4 linked regions of the Caenorhabditis elegans genome follow. The protein of the gene in region 2 purifies or fractionates together with the protein of the main gene of each other region. This does not show direct contact. Each region holds a gene or a part of one and is shown on either strand. Other genes may lie near its edges. The genes, in order: rps-15, B0395.3, mcm-3 and pole-2.

Region 1 (2,825 bases), on a different chromosome or scaffold from region 2:
GCAGCAATGATTGTTATATCTTCAGGAGATATGTTTCCAACATTCGTTCCAGTCAAAAGTTCAGTTTTGATACGAGGACAGGAGAATGTCTTTCTGAAAAAAGCTTCATTTTTATCAATATATTAGTAAAAATAAACCTGTCATTGAATGCAGAGTTGATTACACCAGCCACTGGTTGATGTTTTTCAGGTTTGATGGCGGTCAGAGATTTGAGATGTTGATGATCCACACTGTCTCTTTCTCTGAAATAATAATTGTTTTTGTCATTTTTCATAGAGTTCCAGGAAGACCATCACTCGACCTCATTCAAAAAGCGTTTAATTGGAAGAAACTAATATGGAAAAGAAGATTAAAAAATTAAGTAACTCAACAAAAATAAATAGGATAGTTTGAAATTGGGAGAAGCAGACCATGCGGTTTTAGCATTCTAATTTCAAAAATTGAAAACCCTTCTTCATCTTCGTGTGATGACGTAGCAGTGTCGAAAAATTTGTCATAATCGGCTGATTTTCCCCACATTTTTATAAGTCTGAACTGTCCAAATTTTGTAAATCGCAAGAAGCCGGTGAGAAAAAATGATTTTAAATTAAATGGTCACACCTTTCTTCACTTATATCACTTGAATCATCATCTTCTGAAACTTCTGTACTGTCATTTCCACGCCTTTTTTGTTCTTCTGGAGTTATTTTATCGTCATCACTGCTTCTTCGGCTCGCATAATCGGTCAAATTTTGCGAATTATCCTCATAATCCACCATAAACTTTCCCTCGTCATGGAACTCCCCGCGTAGAATTTTCTGGTCTACATTGGGAACCACAGATCCATGTGCAAAATAAAATAGAAGTAGTAGAAGTAGGTTTAATCGCATTCTGAAAAAATTAAAGTGAAGACAAAATAGTGCTTGCGATAAGGCTAAAGAAGAAGATATTTAAAAGGTAGAATCGTCAAAAGGAGAGAATATAGATCTCCAAACTCTATTATGCTTTATTTGCAGTTCGAAATTGAAAACAATGCTTAAAAAACAAAATTAAATCGACAAGAATTTCAAATAACTAATTATTGTCGAATAAATTCTGGTCGAAACTTCATTTTATGAAAATAATTTGTATTCAGCAGTTGAATACATTTTTTATTTTGAGAATAACATTATTTAAATTAAATTACGAAGCTCCAAAACTTTTTTTTTCACCAATTTCCGTTTATCAGGCCCGAAAAATTGATAAAAATATAAGAATTGCAACCGCGCTCCACCGAATTCTGGCGAACAGCCAACCTGCGCTGAGTAGCGACTCAACAATGATGAACGATACGGAGCTTCGGTTGTCAGTAGAATTTTTACAAAATTTTCCGTTTTTCGCGATTTTTTTCACGGTTTTTCTGGTTTTTTGGTGTTAATACCTGTTTTTAATATAGAAATACTAATTTTTCTTTTCCTACTGTAGAGAAATATGTGAAACTAATGGAAAAATTATCGTAAAAATGTATAAAATGGAAGTTGCATTAATTCAGATTTTATTTAATTAAATTTTACGATATGTAAGTCAGTGCTCTTTTTGATAATTCATGACGAGTTTTCTTCACTTCTCTTCCATATGTTTATTTACTTTCTTTTCAATATCCATATATTGCAACAAAAAAAGTAATCGATTTTTCAGGGTTAAACATGGCTACTCAAGATGATGCCCATCTCGCTGAGCTGAAGAAGAAGAGAACTTTCCGCAAGTTCATGTACAGAGGAGTTGACTTGGACCAACTTTTGGACATGTCCCGGTAATTTTTTAAAACAATATTTTGCCGGCAATGTCTGGTTTTTGGTCATCTCCAAGAACAATTATTTATTTCCAGTGAACAATTCACCAAGCTTCTCCCCTGCCGCATGCGCAGACGTCTCGATCGCGGACTCAAGAGAAAGCACTTGGCTCTCATCGCTAAGGTCCAAAAGGCCAAGAAGGCTGCTGGTGTTCTCGAGAAGCCAGCCACCGTTAAGACCCATCTCCGAGACATGATCATCCTTCCAGAGCTCGTTGGTGGAGTCATCGGAATCTACAACGGAAAGGTTTTCAACCAGGTGAGTCGATTACAATAAATGCGAAAACATTATGATTATTATTATTTTGTTACAGACCGAAATCAAGCCAGAGATGATCGGATTCTATCTCGGAGAGTTCGCTATCTCCTACAAGCCTGTCAAGCACGGAAGACCAGGTATTGGAGCTACCCACTCTTCCCGATTCATCCCACTCAAGTAAAGTTATTTGTTGAACAATAAACTTGTTTCTAAAGTTGATCAAATTATGTTGCTGTCTTTTATACACGGTTGAATAACATCAATTCGAAGAAACGTGATGATTTTATATTAGAATGTGTCGAAATGTCCGCGCGAGTTGAAAGGGTCAGTTGAATATTGGATGCGAATGCCTTTACGGAAGCCCGCACTATCACAAAAATAACCACCCAAATTTTTTGAATTTCTTTTGTATTCCTAATAAAAGTAAACGAATATCGAGAACTTGCTGGCCCTGGATGTCATCGACCAATCTGAATACCGTGATTACCATTCTTCTACACAGCAATACGCTGCTTTTAATGAACAGAATAGTCCGAACACAGAATTGCAATAAAAGGCCATAATTTTAGAAAACGGCTTCTCATTTTTTCTCATCAACATTAAGTGAAAAAATGGATAGATTTTGTTCTTATTTCTCCGAAAGGTATCAAAAATGTTCGACTTGGTGGCAATAAGTTTCCTCGTCACATACTTCGCTGTCTCCCACTTGATTTCGTGTTTGTTATAATTGGTCCATTTTCTGGATCCTGTCTGTCA
Region 2 (6,643 bases):
ACCTAAATCCAAGTTTTGCCAAAAAGTCTTGCCCAACTTTTGCCCAAGTTTAGTTTTTTATATAAGTTATAGCCGAATTCCTAAAAAAAACTATTAGAAAAGTGTTTAAAAAAAGAAAAAAAGTTGCAATTGATAGATTTCCAAATTTTCGGGGATCCAAGTTGCTTTCAAAAAGTATTCAATTTAAAAAAAAAATACTCCAAAGACAAAATGTTGCTAAAATTTTTTATTTGGAATAAAAACAATGATGGGGAAACATTCGAATAACATTATATTTCCGCTAATTATGAATTTGAGAAGCAAATTGCAAATATTTATGCTTAGGCGATTTTTTTAAAATTTGTTTCATCAGAAATTGAAAAAAAAAGTTTTAATAATGAAACTCCATTAGTTTTCTGAAATAATATTAAAACGTTTGGTTCAACTTGTAATTTCCATAAGTTGTGTCTTAAAAAATGTCAAACAGAAAAATTAACACTTTCACTACACAATCCAATTACTGGCTGCCATCCAAATCCAATGACCTCTTCTCATTAACTCACACCATTTGGCTACACATCGTTGTTTTCTTCCTCCATTTCTCGGCCTCTTTGTGGATACCACGCGGGGTTTTTGTGTGGTAGGAGAGAACTTAACTTGCCTCCATTTCCTCCCCCCCCCCCCCCCACTCTTTGGACACAACACAACTACTCGGTTTCTTCTGTTTTCGCTGCCTGTGTTTTCTGCGTTCCGCCTGGTCTTTCTGTTTGTGCCCCCTACATCACCACACACACACACACACACACACACTCCTCTCTTCCCATATGACCCCTGCCATTCACCCGCCGTCACTCGTTTTCTAAACACTTTGATCTTACGCCCCAAACATTTGGAACACTTTTACACTCTGAAAATCAACAAATTATTTTTTTTGTTTTGTTACTTTTTAAAAATGTTTTTTAAGTTTTAAATTTTCCAAAGAAAAATAAAGATATAGTATAGATATTTTTGAAAACTACTCACATAGTGCTAAAAATGACCGAATAAAAAAAATAAAACTTTTCAAAAAAAATTTTGAAATTTTTTTATTTACTGTCAAAAAGTGACAATTACTCAGTTTTGCCACTCATAATTTTAAAAGTCGACCAAAAAAAATGTTTTCTTATATTTTTTTTACTTTAATTTTGTTTTAATTGATCGTATTAAAACATTGTAAGGGTTGGAACATATGACATTGCTCATATTTTTTAAAGTTTTGGCAATTTGAAATTATGAAAAATTTTAAATTTTTAAATTTTTTTGAGTGTTCTATTATGATATTCGGTTGTTTTTGACAAGTGTATGTAGATCAAATCCCCACAGGCGCTATTCTTTAACTAAAATTTAGTTCCAAAATATTAAAAAAAAATTATTTAAATTTAAACATGTGAGAAAATGCAAAAAGTTGTTATAAAATTGCCAGATGCCAAAAAAAAAACGAATTTTTTTGTGAGACTTCATTTATTTTTTGAAAATTTTTCAAAACAATTTTCAATTAACATACAACAAATTTTTTTGGTTAACAGATCACTCTTCTATTATTTACGCTAAATTAAAAAAAAATTGCATTGAACCAACATGGTGCATTCCCTTTTACATTCTCTTTCTTTCATACAAGCTTACATTATATTCATCAATTTGAGTAACAAAACCCGTCGAAAAAATGCTGAAATGTCAAACAATGATTCGACCACAGATCTCCGTGAGTTTCTCCCCAAAAATATTAAATGCTGACCAAAATGACCATATAAAATTTGGACTACGGCGTAGTGTAGTCTGAATGATCATTGATAACATTCCCCCACCCGGGTCTTCCCCCACAAAACGTCTTTCACTTATCACTATAGTAACTTTTCGCAGCGTTTTGTGAGGGATTACCTGTTCCCTCAAAATTTTGAGCATTCAAAATTCATTTTGCAGCAACTAATGAAGCACAGTGTCAACGCAATGGCCGGAGGTCACGGTGCAGCCCGTTATAATTCAACAGGTGAGACTAAACCTTTTTTTCGATTGTAAATACATTGATGACGTTTCAGACCTACCAAAACTCCCGGCTCCACAACCAATTAAAACGCTGAAACACTTCCTGGACTTTGCACAAGCGTTGCAGTCAAAAAAGGAATTTCAAGAGACAAAACAGGTAAAAATAAAAAAAAACATTTGGAGCAAAACAAATGTCAATTTCAGATTGTAAATGATTTTGTGGTTAAGGATTTGCCGAAATTGCAAGAACTGCTGCAGAAACGAGCCGACGCACTTCCGAATTGGGTAAGATTTTTAACACTTTTTTCTAAAAAAAATAATTAGAAAAATAAATTCAAAACAACTTCCCCATTTATGATTAGGAGTAGTTAATTTTCAGTTTGGACCAAAAAAATAGAAATGTATCAATTAACTTTATAGGTTTAGCTTTACTGCAAACCAATGACACCTTTAAGTGTACCCTAAACCTAATTTTAAAAAGTTTGATACTAGAAAACTTTACAATATTTTGAAAATATTTAACGGCATAAGTAATACCTATCAGGTATTAGGCATAATGTTGGGCGTTTATATTAAATAATTTTTTCTTTGCAAAACAAACAATTTCTTGGAAATTGGTCCACAAAATAATCCGCCAGCCTATAAATTGAAAACATCAAAATGAAATCAAAATGTTGCTGAAAAAGTGACAGGGCCAGCGCCATAAAAATAGATTTCCAAATTTAACACATGGTTTTATAATATATCTAAAAACTAACTATCTTAAAATTGAGCAAGTTGGCGTTTTTTTACCGATTCAAACAAAAGATTTTCAGCTCACACCATGGTGGCTCAACATCGCCTACCTAGCTGCTCGTACCCCACTTCCAGTCGTCACATCTCCAGGAGTCATGTTCCCTAAATTTGACTATAACACCGAGGAGGGACAACTGGAATATGCAGCAAAAATCAGCCAAGCCGCTGTCCACTTTTACCTTCGAGCAAAAAAGTAGGCTTCTGGTTCAATTCGATGTTTTTTAGTTTTCAAAAAACATTTTTTCAGTAATCAGTTGAAGCCTGATATGGCAGGAAAGTCGCCGCTTGATATGAGCCAGTACCAGTTCTTGTTTGGAACAACTAGGGTACCTAAGGTTGGCGTAGATGAGATTAGATATGGATGTGACTATAAGGAGAAATTGCAACACATTTTAGTGATTAGAAATGGACATGTGAGTTTTTAAAAAATGTTATTTAAAAATTGTATCACTGATTCTTTATAAAGACTAATGAGGTTATTCAATTAATGTTGCAAAATGTATTTAAATACATTTATTACGTCACAACTGTATTAAAATACAAGTTTTCAAAAAATGTATTTTAATATAGTTTGCACCTAATTTTTCTACACTTTTTAATTTTTCGACACTTCTTGAATAACCCCATAAGACTTCAGTTGTTCCATCTAATTGAAGTTGAAAAAAATATTGCAAACAGATTTCAACAAAACCGTTAAAATCTCCCTACATTTTCAGCTCTTCCGCGTCCAAGTCCTAGACTCCAACGAGCAGCCACTCTCAATTTTTGCTATTACTCAGCAACTGGCAAAAGTCGTTTCAGAGAGTCAAACTCCAAACCCACATCCAGTGGGAATTGTCTCCTCCGATAGTCGCGACAAATGGGCAAATGTATACTCATCGCTGAAAAGTGAGCTTTCGAGAAAAAAAGTTTCAAGCCAAATGTAGAAGTTTTGCTTAGCTCCATTGTGAAGATTTTCTTTGAAGCTAGCTATGCTGATAATAATACTATTTTCAGAGGATAACAACAACGCGAAATCCCTGGAAGCCGTCGAAAAATCGTTGTTCGTAGTCTGTCTTGACAAAGCTAGTGAACCACCAGTTGGCTACACGGAGAAAGATGAGCAAAGTAGGCAGGCACTGCATGGTGGCGGCTCCAAAGTGAACTCGAGCAACAGATGGTTTGACAAGACTATTCAGGTGTGTTATTTAGTTTATCCACGGCGTGTCAGGCTGTCCCATTACGGTTTGATCTACAAAAAATGCGGGAATTTTTTGCCCATAAAAATTATACGTCAACACGTTCTTAACCAGACGAAATCAGTTGAGAACTCTGCGTCTCTTCTCCCGCATTTTTTGTAGATCTTTGTAGATCAAGCCGACATGAGACACTCTTACACCACGTGTTTATCGTTCATGCACTCATTTTTTTGCATTTGATCAGTAGAGCACATTTGCATTGCAATAGCAAAAAATATACCTGGAAATTTCAGTTTGTCATCGGAACAAATGGCTACACCGGAATGACGTATGAGCACACTCCAGCCGAAGGACCACCAGTCGGTGCACTCATGGATTTTATTTGTGATCAATTGTGAGTTTTTGAAATTTATAACTGATTACAAAAAAATTTGTTGAAAAACTTGAATTTGAACAGAAATTTAAAATGTTGTCTTTTTCGTTTTATCGTTGGGTCAAAAACCGGAACTGTGGCACTTTAGGTGGAGTAGCGCCAGTGGGGAACTTGTGAAAAACTACTCCTACACATGGTGCCAAAATGACCGAATATCATAATAAATCCTTTCAAAAGTTTTTTAAAATTTTTTTATTTACTGTCAAACAGTGACAGTTACTCAGTTTTTCCACATATAATTTTGGAAGTCGACCAAAAAAAAAATTTTTCCTACATTTTTTTATACTGTAGTTCTGTTTAAATAATTTGTCTTAAAACATTGCATGTGTCGTTTTTCAAAATATTGGCAGTTTGCCAAAACTTCGGCCGGAAATTATGAAAAATCGAAAAATGTTTGGAGTGTTTTATTATGATATTCTGTCGTGTTGGATCATAATAAGTGTATTCAGACCAAATTCCCACTGGCGCTACTCCACCTTTAACCATAGCAATATAAATATTTCTGATCCTACGCTTCATCAAACAAGTTTATTTAAAATGTTGCAAAAAGTATTCTGGTAGCTTGGATATCTTCAGTTAGTAACATTTAAGATAATATATCTATTATATTTCCTTCAATTTTTCAGTGATGCTAACACATTCATTACTGAAGGCACACCTTCCAACTCCCCAGTGCAACGTCTCGATATTTCCACTGACGAGGAAATCAACAAAAGAATCGCCAAGAGCTCCAAGAACATGGACAGCATCGCCGAGGACCTTGATATCGTCGCGTTCACGTTCAAGCCCTACGGAAAGAATTTCCCGAAATCCTCAAAGATCTCGCCCGACTCGTTCATCCAAATGGCTTACCAATTAGCTTTCTACCGGATCCACTCATCGCGTAAGTCAATTATCCCCCATCTTACAATTTGATGACGAATTAAATTTCCAGTTCCACCAACCTACGAGACGGCCACTTTGCGTAAATTCACCGAGGGTCGAACCGAGAACATCCGATCTCCGAATACAGCTGCAGCATCATTTGTCAAGAAGGTGTGTGTTTGTGTGTGACCTAGATCGATCACCCAATTTAACTCACTCAATTTTCAGATGGTATCTAAGCCTCCTACGCCGGTTAGTGAAATCTACGATGCACTTGTTCACGCAACAAATTCGCATAAAAAGTACACCATGGATTGTATGGATGCAGCTGGAATGGACAGACATTTATTGGCATGGAAGTTGATCGCTACTGAAAATAATCTCCCAACCCCAGAAATCTTCGGTTCCAACATCTACCAACAACTCAACCATTTCCAAGTCTCCACAAGTCAAGTTCCCACACGGCATTTCATCCAAATGTGCTTCGGACCATCTGCCCTTGATTGCTATGGAATTTGCTACAACCCACAGGAAACTGAACTTCACTTTATGATCTCAACATTCAAGAGCTACGGCTCGACGAGTTCCAAGAAGTTTGCCAAGGAACTTCAAAAGGCGCTAATTGACATGAAATCGGTTATTAATAAGGCTACAAAAGAAATGTCCAAGTTGTAGGAGATCATATTTTGATACTACTTTTTTTTAAAGAATAACATTTCACACGCCATAACTAGTGCTCCTACGTGTTCAGATCCCAATGTTTTTTTTTCTGCTTTATTGTAATTGATTGAAAATGCTTGTAGATATTTTATGAAAACATTTTATATGAATAAATAATTTGTATAATAAATACGTTTCCGTCAGAGGTGTATCACAAATATCCACGATAAATCTACAAAACATCTAATATTGGGGTGATAGCCAAGAAATAGAGAAAAAATGTGATTGATTTCAGAATTGTTTTGCTAAAATCGATAGTTTAAAATATGCTATTCCTGCCATAAAAATTGTGTGCATTTATCTAGCAGACCGATCAAAAGATTTTTGGTACAAATAAGCATATTTTACAATGAACCAACTTCTATCAAGTAACTAATATTTATTTTTTCTGTAAAAACTAGTGACAAAACTTTTGTACAGTTTAAAAAATAATTCTCAAATAAAATCAACAAAATACAAAAAAAAAAAACGAATACCCCGTGTGACAAATAATTAGAGATTTCATGAAGTTGGTGGGTGACAATTCCAATGTCTCGGGAACAAAAGGTCCACAACGGCATTGGAGTACGGGGCACAGTGTCCACGTCTCGCGTACCATTCTTGGCCGTAGAAAGCAATGAACATTCCGGTTCCTGAAAGATGGTTGTATTTT
Region 3 (5,161 bases), on a different chromosome or scaffold from region 2:
AGCGGGTTTCTATATTTTTTTGTTCACGCTGAAAAACATTTCAAAATAAAAAAAGCTAATAAATCGTTCCAAAAAAATGTATTTCCTATATCTTCGAATCTAAAAAATGACGTCTTCTTCCGTTCAACAATCGATTGAAATTCGTGTTAATTGGAATGAAATTCCAACAATTGAGCAAAAAATTTTGGAGGCGCTGAAAGGAATAAAAACTCGAAATATCCGAGAGACGAATGTAGTTTTGTTCAAGAAAAATGAGGTATGTTTCCACTTTCTCATTCCTTTCCAAATAATTGTTTTCCAGGAAATTCATGTGAGAATCGAATTGAAGCCAATGGAATTCCCTGACACAAATCGTTGCAAAGCGGTTCAAGCGAACACCATTCCGTTGGTTGGTGACCATCGACTCGGATGTACCGGAATTCAGTATCGACAGGAGAAGGCAGCGAAACGTGGAAAGAAGGCTCGCATGTCGACCGGCGTTCAGACAGTCTCCACAAAGAATCAATGACCAAGAGTACTTCTTTTATCCGGTTACGCGATTGATAAAGAGATATAATAGGGGGAGGAATAAAGAGAAAAGAGAGAGACAACATAGTACAATAGGCAATGTAAAATCAATGTGAGTGGATTAGGAGACCCTAGTTAAAATGAAATAGGAATGATAATCAGGTGAAAAAAAGGATAAAATAATGATTTGATTGAGAGATCGAAAAGAAAACGGGGCTTATGTTCCAGCTTCCAGCAGGAAATTAGATGAGAGTGATCTTATCTTCGGCAATCATTGCAGCGTTATCGTTTTCCAATTGTTCGTATCCAGCCTTCAGCTCATCCTCAGTGAACTTGTGTGATCCGGCTTGAGTTTGAACACCTGAAAACATTTTTGTAATAAACATTTTTAATGAAACATTTGCTTACTGTCTGTGATAATTTGAAGTTCAACCATATCGTCGGTGCTTCCAATGTCGTCGAACGCCTTTCTGACGTACTTCCGAAGCTCCTTATAACGATCAACTCCGATGGCAGCCGGTCCAGTACGTGCTTTCTTAGCAGTTGGCTGACTTTCTCCAATGGTAGTATCCATCATAGAATCCTGGCTATCATCATCTTCAGCACGCCTTCTGACTCCACGACGCGGGGTGGCTGCAGTCGGAACGGAGCTAGATTGAGGCTCTTCCGATGTTGCCATGTCCTCGTTATCGCTCTGATCCTCATCATCGTCACCATCAATTCGTGGAGCTCGCTTCTTCTTCTCATACTCTTGACGAGCCTTTGGCTTCTCCTTGAAACAGGCAAAGTGGAGCAGATTGTAAGCTTTCTCAGTATCCTCTCGTTCGACTTTTTTCGAGAATCTTGCCTTCGCGATAGCAGTTGACAAACGAATCAATGTTTCGAGTTGACGAGCGGTGACAGGCATTGTTCGTTCTTGATCAGTTTTGGTGATATCAAATGAACGAATATCGGCATATACTTCAGAAATGTACTCAGTAGCTTCATCGGTGAGTTTTGGTTGAACTGATCTTGCCAAATGGATGTACTTTCTCATGAAGTCCATTGTCAGGATTTTCGTGCTGAAATAGAGAAATTAATTAATTTATATTGTTTTTTTATAAAAGAAACTCACTCTTGAATACCAGCCCATTGGGTATTTTCCTCATAGATCGAGCTGCTCGCCTTCTTAGTCTCCATATTGATTGTACTGATCGTCTCAACACCTCCACCCATCGGAAGAACAGTTCCATCGGCTTCACCTTGGGTTCTGTAAGTGTGAAGCTTGAGCACATGTTCAGCGACATTAGCGTCCTTGTCCGCATCATGCTCATCAAGAAGTACAAAGATCAAATCGAAACGCGAGAGGAGTGAATCTTGCATTCCGATGTTTTCCATTGGAGATTTGAATGGATTGTATCGTCCGTACACCGGATTTGCTGCAGCCAGAACCGAGCAACGAGCATTCAGCTTCGCGTGGATTCCAGCCTTCGAAATTGTGACACGTCCCTGTTCCATAACTTCGTGGATTGCAGTTCTATCAATATCAGACATCTTGTCAAATTCATCAATACAAACGACACCACGATCGGCGAGAACCATTGCTCCAGCTTCAAGACGACGTTCTCCCGAATCAGGATCAGTAGTAACAGCAGCAGTAAGTCCAACACCCGAAGATCCACGTCCAGTTGTGGTGATAGCTCTTGGGGCCATACGAAGAACATATCGAAGCAGTTGAGACTTGGCAACAGATGGATCTCCGATGAGAAGAACATTGATATCTCCCCTCAAACGAGAACCATTGTTCAGAATCTTTTCCATTCCACCTAGCAACAAACAGAGCAACGCTTTCTTTGTCTCTTCGTGGCCGCAAATTGATGGAGCAAGTGACCGAGCGAGCAGCTCAAATGGGTTTCTTGACTTTGAAATTTTACGAACATCTTTAACATCTTGTGGCTCAAAGTTTGGAATAACCTCCTTTGAAAGCATTTGAATATGATTAATGATGATGATCGAACGGAAGGATCCAGACGAAACTCCATTCTGCTTATTCGGCAGAACACGGAAGACTCCAATGATGCGGACACGATCTCCAGGCTTGACGCGATCTGCCAAATCAAGATCAGCAACACAATCGACGGCCCGAGGAAGTTGACCGGCTGGTGCGGATTCTGGAAGCTCTTGAATTGTGAACGTTTGATGATCCTTGTAAACTGAATGTCCGAATTCTGTTTCAAGAGGATTCTTATTTTCATCTTCTGTTGGATAGTTGTTATTGGTGACTGCAGTGTCGAGCATAGTGAAATCGGCAAATTTCTTCTCGAGCACTTTATTTGTTGCTGGACAATAGTGGACAGAAGTGAGAAGTTTTTGACGAACAGTTGAACACTTTGTGACGATTCCCTCACAGCAGACAAGGTTTCCAAGATATGATGATTTGAGAGTACGTGGATTGACGTGGCGCTCTCCGAAAGTTCCTTCAAAGCCGACGTGGAATCCACTGAAAATACAAATTGTTTAAAAACAAAAACGGCTTTTAAAAGCTACTCACGTTTTGACAACAGCTTGAACATCACTACGATTAATAGCCATTTGAAGTGCAGATTGTAAGCAATTCATCTCAAGAACGCTTTGGGTCAATAGCCTGAAAACTTTAATACTCGGGAATTCTTTATTTTTTATTAATTACCCTTCAGCTCTTTCTGGTAGAATTTCCCTGATTTCATCGAGATTCATCACCAAACGACTTTCTCCATCATTCATCATTTTCACAATTTTCTGACGATAGTGAAAAGTGTCGGCTTGATTGTCCAAAAAGTTGAGATACTGCTCCGTGATTTCTTGTTTTCGAGCATCCTCGGCACGATCAATGAACATTCCATCAGCTTGTCCGTCCATTTTTTCTGAAAATAAGATGTTTTTAACAAAAGAAACTTAAAATTAAAAAATAAACGAATAGAAACTAGAAAGCACGGAGAAGAGCGGGGAAAATAGAAAAATTCGGCCCAAATTCGCGCATTTCTCATTCAAACAGCAAGGTTTCGCGCGCTCGCTCCGTAAACACCATGACGCAACGCTGCACTCAATGCACCTGAAAGTGATGTTTGAACATGTTTATTTTAAATAGCTATTAATAGCGAAATAATTTTATTTAAATAAAAATGCCTGGAATAAAATGAAAATTGTCTGAAATTATCAGTTCAAAATTGTCATTTCAAGTTTCAAAAAACATCAATAACATTTGTGCCCGTGATCTATGCAAAAGATCTCTTCCAAAAATCTCCTCAATTTTTCATAACAAATCACAAAAATGGAATCTATTGTTTCAGTACTCACAAACTCACAGACACAGATGCTTTTCCATTCTATTCATCCCATCTTTCTTATTTTCTCCCTGCCTCCCCCAGGACGCACCTTTCGTAATACATTTATACATAGAAATGGGAAGAAAGTGGTCACAAAAGCACACATATACACAAAATTTATGCCGTAAAGCTTTAAGTGCTTTGACTTTGTCTCCTAGAAACTTGAGCGCACCGCGTGCTGGAAACCATTGGAAACCGTTTGAAACAACATCTATCGGACCCTCCCGCCGCCGCTCGGGCCTTCACTCATTCATTCATTCACAAAGCTATTTTTTCTGTGCTTTTTCGTTTTATATTCGCAATACGATACGAATACGAAACCATGAAACTTCTACTCGCAATCTCGATTCTGGTACTCTGGATTTCAGAGACAGGTGAGAATTGAATCTAGATTTATAACAGGACTGGCGAAATTTTGAACGTGTTGCCTCCAAGAGTACTGTACCGGGTCTCGAAACGACTTTTTTAAGACAAAATCTATTAGCTTACTATTCTTCAAACGAGTGTGCACCTTTAAGGAGTACTGTAGTATTCAGATTGTTTCCGGGTTTTCTTTATTTAGTTGCTATAGTTTTTTCTTCCGTTTTTTAAGTATCAAAAAATGATAATTACACAAGTGAAATTACTTGAGAATGAAACAATTTTTAGAAAACAGGAGAAAACTGTTCTGAGAAAAGTTAGAAACTACCGTACTCTTCAAAGGCGCAAACACTTTTGCAAATTTAATAATGGGTAGTGTCGAGATCTGATCTAAGGGGCTTGGTGTGCGCCTTTAAGAGGTACAGTTTTTCCAGGGTTCAAAAATGTTTATTTGAAAACTAAGTTGAAAATAAACCGAAAAATCTGAAAAAAAAAGTCGTTACTGTACCGCTTAAAGGCGCGTACCTTTCACGATTTGCAAATATTTCTTTCGTGGCGAGACCTTGGAGCTTTGGAACATTGACTTTTTTTCAGAATCCACAACATGCTTCGTCCAAAATAGTATTCTCAATGCGTTCACTCAAGTCTGCCCGGGAAACATCTACACCTGCATGAAGTTCGACTGTAAAGTGAACAATCCGAAGAAATGTGAGTTTTAAGCCTGGAAATTATCTGTAAAATCTGAATTTTCAGTCCGTCAGACCACTAAAGGATGTAATGATCCTGGAAATGCCCTGGTCGCCTGTACTCAGCTTATGGTAAGTAAAAATAAATTTATATATTTTTTCGTGCAAAAATTAATTTCCAGACGCAATGCCAAGCCCAAGGTGGAACCGGACAATGCTACACTTGCAATGGAGATTACTGTAATTCCAGTCCAACGAGCTTCT
Region 4 (6,768 bases), on a different chromosome or scaffold from region 2:
AGAATTCGTGCATAATTTACACTACTTTTTCTTGTACTTTGCCATAACTGCTTGCTCATTTTTGTAACAAATGCCTGTACCTATTGATCTTTCGCTTGTTTATTTTTTAATACGGGTTTAAATTTTTTAAACAAAAATTGAAATTTTTCCCGTGGAAAAATCTATAAATATACAATGTAAAATCAGTTATCTTCTTCTCAATGTTTTGTGCATATTTACGACTATCTCACGATGCCCAAAATCAATCGATACCAATTGACAGAGTCGATATTCAACATTAAATGCGTCCAAACAGCACTGGGCGCGTCTGAATAACGACAACACCTTATATCTATTTTAACCGAGCATTCAGCATCCAAAATATAATTCATTTCCTTCTTTGAAAAACTATTTCATGATGATCTTGAATTCGTTTTTATTTTCGTAGAAAATTTTCGTTAAAAACCAAATTTGAACACCCACGTGAATAAATTACTGACGCTTTTCTCGATATGTTTGCGTATTTCTCGTGCCCTGTTGACACACTTTCGGAGCAAGAATTTTTTGAAACCGATTTTCGAATACTCTCAGTTTTTCGTGGTTTATATTTTTCATTATGCTTTCTTTTCTTGGTAACAATAGTTCAAAATGACAAAATCTTAATTTTCAGCATGCCAAAGTACTATTGTGATTACTGCGACACATTTTTGACACATGACTCGCCATCAGTGAGAAAAACGCACAATGGAGGAAGAAAACACAAGGATAACGTCAGAATGTTTTATCAGGTAAGTTCCTAACACGCTATTTTTCAAATAAAGTGAGCTAGTGTTTGATATTATCGATTTTCTTCTAAGAAGTTTCTGTTTTGTAAATAATGCAATTTTTATTTAATTGGACATGAACTATAAAATCATTTTATTTCAGAAATGGATGGAAGACCAAGCACAGAAGCTTGTTGATCAAACTGCACGGGCATTTGCCACAAATAGAGTAAGTTGTTTTAAAATACAGCTTTTACAACAACAAATATATAATCCAGTTGTAATTTAAAAATCAGCGTCCTTTTTGTTTGAAAACAAGTATAAACCAAAGTCAATTTTCAGATGCAAGGAGCCGTACCACGTACAACAATGGGAATGGCCCCTGTACCACCAGTGGGTCATCATCCGATGATGGGAGGTCCCCCAGGAATGCCAATGATGGCTCCTCGACCGTTCCCTGGACCAGGAGTCGGATTTCCAGGAGCACCAGGGGTCAGTCTTTTTAAAAGATTACACTGAAATGCAGCTGAAATCTAAATTAAAATTGTGTCAATGCAGATTTGACTGACATTTTAGAGTTTAAAGAGGACTATGTATTTTTTTTCTTGAAATATTAAAAAGTCTCGCCAACAACTGAATATTTCAGATGCCACCATTCCCAGGAGGGCCTATGGGTATGGCTGGACCACCAGGAATGCCACCAATGATGCCACGTCCACCACAACAATTCCGTCCGATGTAAAATGAATTCGATGTTTCCTATGGAAATTATTCAGAATGCTTAAATTGTTATTGTTTTGGGTTTCTGCCAAGTGTGCACAAAAAATTTCATTTTTCTTTTTCAAATTATCAACTGTTTCCAAGAAAAATCGTTCTGAAGTTTCCTAATTCGTGAACATTATATAATAATAATTTATTTCTGTTCCTGGTCTCAATTTTTGTAATGAATATTTTTATTTTGAAATCTAATCTGTTAATACTATTTCTGTTTATCGTTTTGTGATGTGTTGACTTTGCATGGTGTGATTATCTGAATATTTTGAATTAATTTTAATAGTTAATCCCTCTTTTCTTAACAGAAAAGCAAATTAAAAATACAATTTTAGATGGACACAACTGCCGAGGAGAATGCGCTGCGCCGAGAAATTGTCAAAACCTTTCAGATACACGCATTTGAGCTCAAAAAGTAGTTTTCTTGAAAATTAATTATTTCAATTTGCAATTATTTTATAGAGAAGCGGTCAAATTATGTGTGAAGCTATTCCTAGACCATGACAAAGAAACTCGAAAGAAATGGACGAATAAAATGATTGAATTACTCAAAAAGCAGACACGTAAGCATATACCAGTTATTAAACTATTTTCAAATAGTTTTTTCCTTTAGTGCAATCATCCCTAATCAGTGAAGAACTCATCAGAGATACATTCCGTCAATGTAAATCAAAAGGAACCCAAGATGCGTGAGTTCTGGTTTTGACCTCTAAAAATTAATTTTTTCAAAAAAAAAACTTCTATTGTTATCTTTATTAGAGCATCATAACCCTTTCATTTTTGCGAATTGACGTCACATTTCTGGATAAGGTAATTTTATACTCGTGTTTTCAGAGGAAAACTGCTCAATGTATTCGACGCATTCTCCCTCCAGCCGTATGATTTTGATGCGGATCTTCGGAAAATGGTTCTAAGAAAAGAAAAAACTAGTCTGGCTGCTGATTCGTCGTCATTCTCACATGCTGCACGACAACGATTTTTTATTGTTAAGCAGGTGAACATTTTTTCTTTTTTGTTTAAATTTGCAAAAAAAATATGCAAAATGTATATTTCACTAATATGTGTTTGCATAAAAAGGTCAACATATAAATATATACTGAAATCTTTAATAAAAAGTTTAATCAATTAACGATTTACAGCGTGCAATGCGATGTGCTTCACTGAAAAACTTCAAATTCACCACATGCGAAATTTTGGGAAGTTCCACAAAACATCTTCAATCAGTTGTAGTTCTCGGTATGCTTACTCAGCAAAAGGTATTCTTTGAAATAGTGAAATTTGATAAAATCTAATATTAATAATTTTCAGGCCGACTGCTATCATATCGAAGATCTAAGCGGTTCAGTTGAAGTAGAATTTAAAGAAGACACGAAATTTCATCATGCGTTATTCCATGAGCATTCAATTGCAATTTTTGAAGGAACTTTTGAGAATAGTGTTTTAACAGTGAATGAAGTTGCAATGGTACCTGTAGAATCAGCAGAAGTTACGAGAAAAGAGTTGAGTTCGAATGAGAATTGGTTTGGAGGAGATGATAAGGTATGGAAATAATTTAAAGTATACTTCTTTTTGAAAAAAAACTGATTTCAGATCGCATTCCGGTGCAGTGATCGCCTACGATCAGCTCTGGCTAAGCAGGAAGATACTTCCCTTGTCTTCCTTTCCGATGTTTTTTTGGATGATAAAAAGGTAATCCGAAAACTTTTTTTTTTGAAAACGAATAACGAAAAAAACTAATAAACAAAAAACAATTTTTTTAAAAGTTTGAATCACTATTTTTAAAAAACCTAAATATTTTGAATTAACTGAACTCTATTTATAATTTCGATAGTCTATTCTTAGAAACTCTGAAGAAAATTCTCAGTTTAGGTTTTTTCCGAAAAAAATATTTTTCCCCAATAAACTAGAAAAGAATAATTTTCAGTTCAAAAACCAGTCTAATTTATATGTTTTCCAGGTTATGAAAGCAGTATTCAAATTGCTACAAGGATACAAAGATCAACCTCCAGTTGCAATTGTTTTTTGTGGAAATTTTTGCTCAAGACCCAGACAAACTGATACAATTGATTTACTGGATCGTGGATTCAGGTGGTTGGCTAATCAATTGACACCACTCAGAAAGGATTATGAAAAAACACAGTTTATCTTTGTACCAGGACCTGATGATCCATTTGTTGACACGGTAAAATATATTCAAAAATGTTCTTTTCCAAAAATTTCAAAAAAAAAAACACAATTTTGCCAAAATCGGAAATTTCGCCGACTTTTCGTTGTCACAGCAGCCGGAATATAGTTTTTATCAAACTACTATCATACTATCATTTGCGTTTCTATTTTTTGGAATTTTCAGGTACTTCCTCGTCCACATCTTCCATCTCTTCTCTTCAAGCATATTTCCCCAATTATCTCGTGTACATTTGCTTCGAATCCGTGTCGAATTCAATTCGCAAGCCAGGAGATTGTTGTCTTCCGAAGTGATTTGATCAAAAAAACGTGCAGGTGAATTTAAGCTTTTCAGTCTGGAAATCTCATCATCAATACGCTATTTTGTCTGTTGAAATTAGTACGGCAGTACAAAAAATGACAGCTGAGATGATAATTGGAGCAATGAACTGATTATTATTTATTGAGCTAGACACTAATGAACTAGACAAAATACAGATGTGATGACGTTGGAATCTAAAGAGATCGGTTAAAAAATATGAGAAACAACAACAGAATATCTGAATTTTTATTTATTTCATAATAATAAAAAATGAGAATAAACAAACATAGAAGTTATAATTTCCTAAAAATGAGAATTTTCCGAGAAGAAATTTTGGCATAATCCTTAAAACTAAATAATTTTGAAATTACTTAATTTCAGACATTCAATCAATAGTATCACTGTCGAATCCATCCCATCGAGATATGCAAGAAGTGTGTTGAGCCAGGTTGGTAAAATGAATTTGATGAAAATTTGTGTAATTAAAAAAAACTACTAAATTCTGTAGATTTTGATTTTTCATTCTGGATTTTTTTTCAACTCGGCAACCCCTGATACAGAAACGTAGAAATTTTGAAGTTTCATGATTTGAAGCATTGAACTTTCTCGTATTTCCAATAAGTTCAGTCAACGTTTTGAATAACTAAACGAAATTCACCTGATCTTACTACGAAATATATCTTCTCCTAAATACTATATTTGTTTTTCTGTCCATGCTGGAAAAAAATCACGTAGCAGTTTTAGTGGGAACTGGAACCGGCTCAAAAACACCTGAAAATAAGCGATAAACTTCTTCTAATGAGCTGAAAATAGATTTTTTTTTGCATCTGAAATTATAAAATTTATATATTTTATTTTGAACCTGCCAATCTGGATCTATGAAATGTAAAAATAAAAACTAAGATCAATTCGAACAAAAATTGCAAATTTTCGAAAACCCCGCTTTTCAGTATGTTAAAAAAATTCAGAAAATGTAATTGAATTGGGCTGAAAAGTTAAATAATTAAGTTAAATTGAAATTAAAATTTTTCAATAAAAAACTTTAAAAAAAGAAGGTATTTTTGGTTTTTAGTGAGCACTTTAAAAACTTCAAATTATTCAAAGCGAAAACCACAGAATAAAATTATCGCTCTTTTTTTTTAAAGAAAAAATAATAAATTTCCAACAGGCTTCAGACTTCAGCGTTATAATTGAAAGTTTGTCTGATTTTGTGTTTTGAATTGTAGACAAGAAATCACACGAGTTTTTTATTTCAATTTTAGTTTTTGATTTGACGATGTTTGAGACTCTGATGCAAATTCCACATGTCCTTGTACCCATTGTTTTCATAATTTTTGATCACGTGGGCTCTATGGAAGTATTTTTGATTTTTCCTTTTATGGAGAGCCAATTAAATCCTCAGAAAATACGAAAGAACATTTAATTTCTTAAAATACATGTTCTTCTGCTACAGTTCTAGATTTTCACGGTTAAATTTAGACCTTCATATCCTATAGGAAAAGAATAACCAATCGAATCCATGAACCAAAGATTAATTTAAATTTGAAGTTACAAATTCGGGGTCTTCGGAAACTGGACACTCAAAATATGAAAAATCTGAAAACTGTTAATTATAGTTTTATTTTCAGGCGCATTTGTGTCCACTTCCTCAACATATTACACCAGTTTTACCGGATTTCTCTCATTCCTTGTCACTTCATCCACTTCCCGATCTTCTGATCACTGCTGATCGTTTCGAGACTTTCACCGAAAAAGTCGTTGGAGCTGACACAATTGTCTCAAATCCTGGTTCATTCTCTCGAAGCAACTACACTTTCCACGTCTATTATCCCTGTCAGAATCGCGTGGAAGCTTCACAAATCCCAGTTTCCGAACTTGATGATCAGTAGAATATGATGATTAAGAATTCATACCCAATTATATTTCCAGCTCTAACATCAAAAATGTAATCATATTCTTCTTCCTTTTCTGACATGCTTCACAAATCAAGCTTACCTATTTTAATTATCAAATCTCCAATTCCATTCCCGTTTTTCTTTGATCTGCAAACCATCTCAATCTCACAATTTTCCATTCGATTTTCATCTAATTTTTTAATCATTTTTTCTTCAGTTTTTTATTTGAATCTCACAGTTTATCACTATTTTCATCTCAAGTACATCATGTGATTTCTGAATAATTTTTGAGGTCTACGTGTCAAATAAAACAAGTATTTTGCAAAATCAATTCTGGAGTTGTAGAAATCCGAAATTAATTAATTTCAAAATTCCATTTCAATTTCCGAAATGACGAATCTCAGTTTTTTCAGATCACTTCACTTCTCAGGTGACGTGACCCTAACTGAGCCACCTCGTCGTATTCTGATATCACTTAGATTTTGCATTAACCGGGGGCCCCGCATACAGAAGACAGGTGCAATATTTCAGATGATAAAAGGGCGGAGCCTAATTAGTTGGATTTATATAAAGTTGGTGGAAATATTGGGAATTTCAGTATTTTTTGGTAGATTTTTCTGTCTGAAGTCTAATTTCGGAGAATAATAATATTTGAATTTAAATTTGCTGACAATTTTCAATTGTTTCTACTTCTGAGTTTTCCGAGTTTTCTCAGTTTTATCCTTGCCAGTTAAACACGATTTCTCATGATTTATTTTCAAACTCTTGTCACGAACGGACAAGTTCCAAACGAAGACTGCTCAAAACGGTGTGCACATTTAACAACTACAGTATCACCTCTTTCGTTCATCTAGTCTTTGAAGTTTTTCCATTC

The links.
Region 1: the proteins of B0395.3 (region 2) and rps-15 fractionate together in Caenorhabditis elegans (co-fractionation; one large-scale study listed by BioGRID). This does not show direct contact.
Region 3: the proteins of B0395.3 (region 2) and mcm-3 fractionate together in Caenorhabditis elegans (co-fractionation; one large-scale study listed by BioGRID). This does not show direct contact.
Region 4: the proteins of B0395.3 (region 2) and pole-2 fractionate together in Caenorhabditis elegans (co-fractionation; one large-scale study listed by BioGRID). This does not show direct contact.

The regions. Positions count from the first base shown.
Region 1 is NC_003279.8:8,815,025-8,817,849, reverse strand, and holds rps-15 (Small ribosomal subunit protein uS19), read left to right. Parts: upstream 1-1,656; 5' UTR 1,657-1,664; coding exon 1,665-1,771; intron 1,772-1,846; coding exon 1,847-2,069; intron 2,070-2,124; coding exon 2,125-2,250; 3' UTR 2,251-2,278; downstream 2,279-2,825. Other genes in the region: F36A2.9 (Lipase_GDSL domain-containing protein), read right to left, coding at 1-93, 138-242, 601-869. UniProt on the Caenorhabditis elegans protein: Negatively regulates lifespan.
Region 2 is NC_003284.9:16,034,527-16,041,169, reverse strand, and holds B0395.3 (Choline/carnitine acyltransferase domain-containing protein), read left to right. Parts: upstream 1-1,938; 5' UTR 1,939-1,944; coding exon 1,945-2,005; intron 2,006-2,054; coding exon 2,055-2,158; intron 2,159-2,205; coding exon 2,206-2,286; intron 2,287-2,816; coding exon 2,817-2,989; intron 2,990-3,043; coding exon 3,044-3,209; intron 3,210-3,512; coding exon 3,513-3,684; intron 3,685-3,792; coding exon 3,793-3,974; intron 3,975-4,267; coding exon 4,268-4,368; intron 4,369-5,033; coding exon 5,034-5,290; intron 5,291-5,341; coding exon 5,342-5,442; intron 5,443-5,499; coding exon 5,500-5,946; 3' UTR 5,947-6,134; downstream 6,135-6,643. Other genes in the region: mboa-1 (O-acyltransferase), read right to left, coding at 6,493-6,623.
Region 3 is NC_003283.11:15,056,211-15,061,371, forward strand, and holds mcm-3 (DNA replication licensing factor MCM3), read right to left. Parts: upstream 3,390-5,161; 5' UTR 3,385-3,389; coding exon 3,176-3,384; intron 3,131-3,175; coding exon 3,038-3,130; intron 2,987-3,037; coding exon 1,622-2,986; intron 1,569-1,621; coding exon 916-1,568; intron 869-915; coding exon 750-868; 3' UTR 509-749; downstream 1-508. Other genes in the region: C25D7.16 (40S ribosomal protein S20), read left to right, coding at 107-256, 302-508; nssp-71 (neuronal small secreted protein), read left to right, coding at 4,174-4,225, 4,806-4,919, 4,965-5,029, 5,080-5,161.
Region 4 is NC_003282.8:8,681,692-8,688,459, reverse strand, and holds pole-2 (putative DNA polymerase epsilon subunit 2), read left to right. Parts: upstream 1-1,849; coding exon 1,850-1,929; intron 1,930-1,976; coding exon 1,977-2,077; intron 2,078-2,127; coding exon 2,128-2,203; intron 2,204-2,348; coding exon 2,349-2,508; intron 2,509-2,653; coding exon 2,654-2,770; intron 2,771-2,822; coding exon 2,823-3,053; intron 3,054-3,104; coding exon 3,105-3,203; intron 3,204-3,471; coding exon 3,472-3,696; intron 3,697-3,864; coding exon 3,865-4,013; intron 4,014-4,380; coding exon 4,381-4,447; intron 4,448-5,627; coding exon 5,628-5,888; 3' UTR 5,889-6,220; downstream 6,221-6,768. Other genes in the region: hst-1 (Heparan sulfate N-sulfotransferase 1), read left to right, coding at 1-15; snrp-3 (U1 small nuclear ribonucleoprotein C), read left to right, coding at 651-767, 907-972, 1,086-1,235, 1,390-1,485. UniProt on the Caenorhabditis elegans protein: Accessory component of the DNA polymerase epsilon complex. Participates in DNA repair and in chromosomal DNA replication.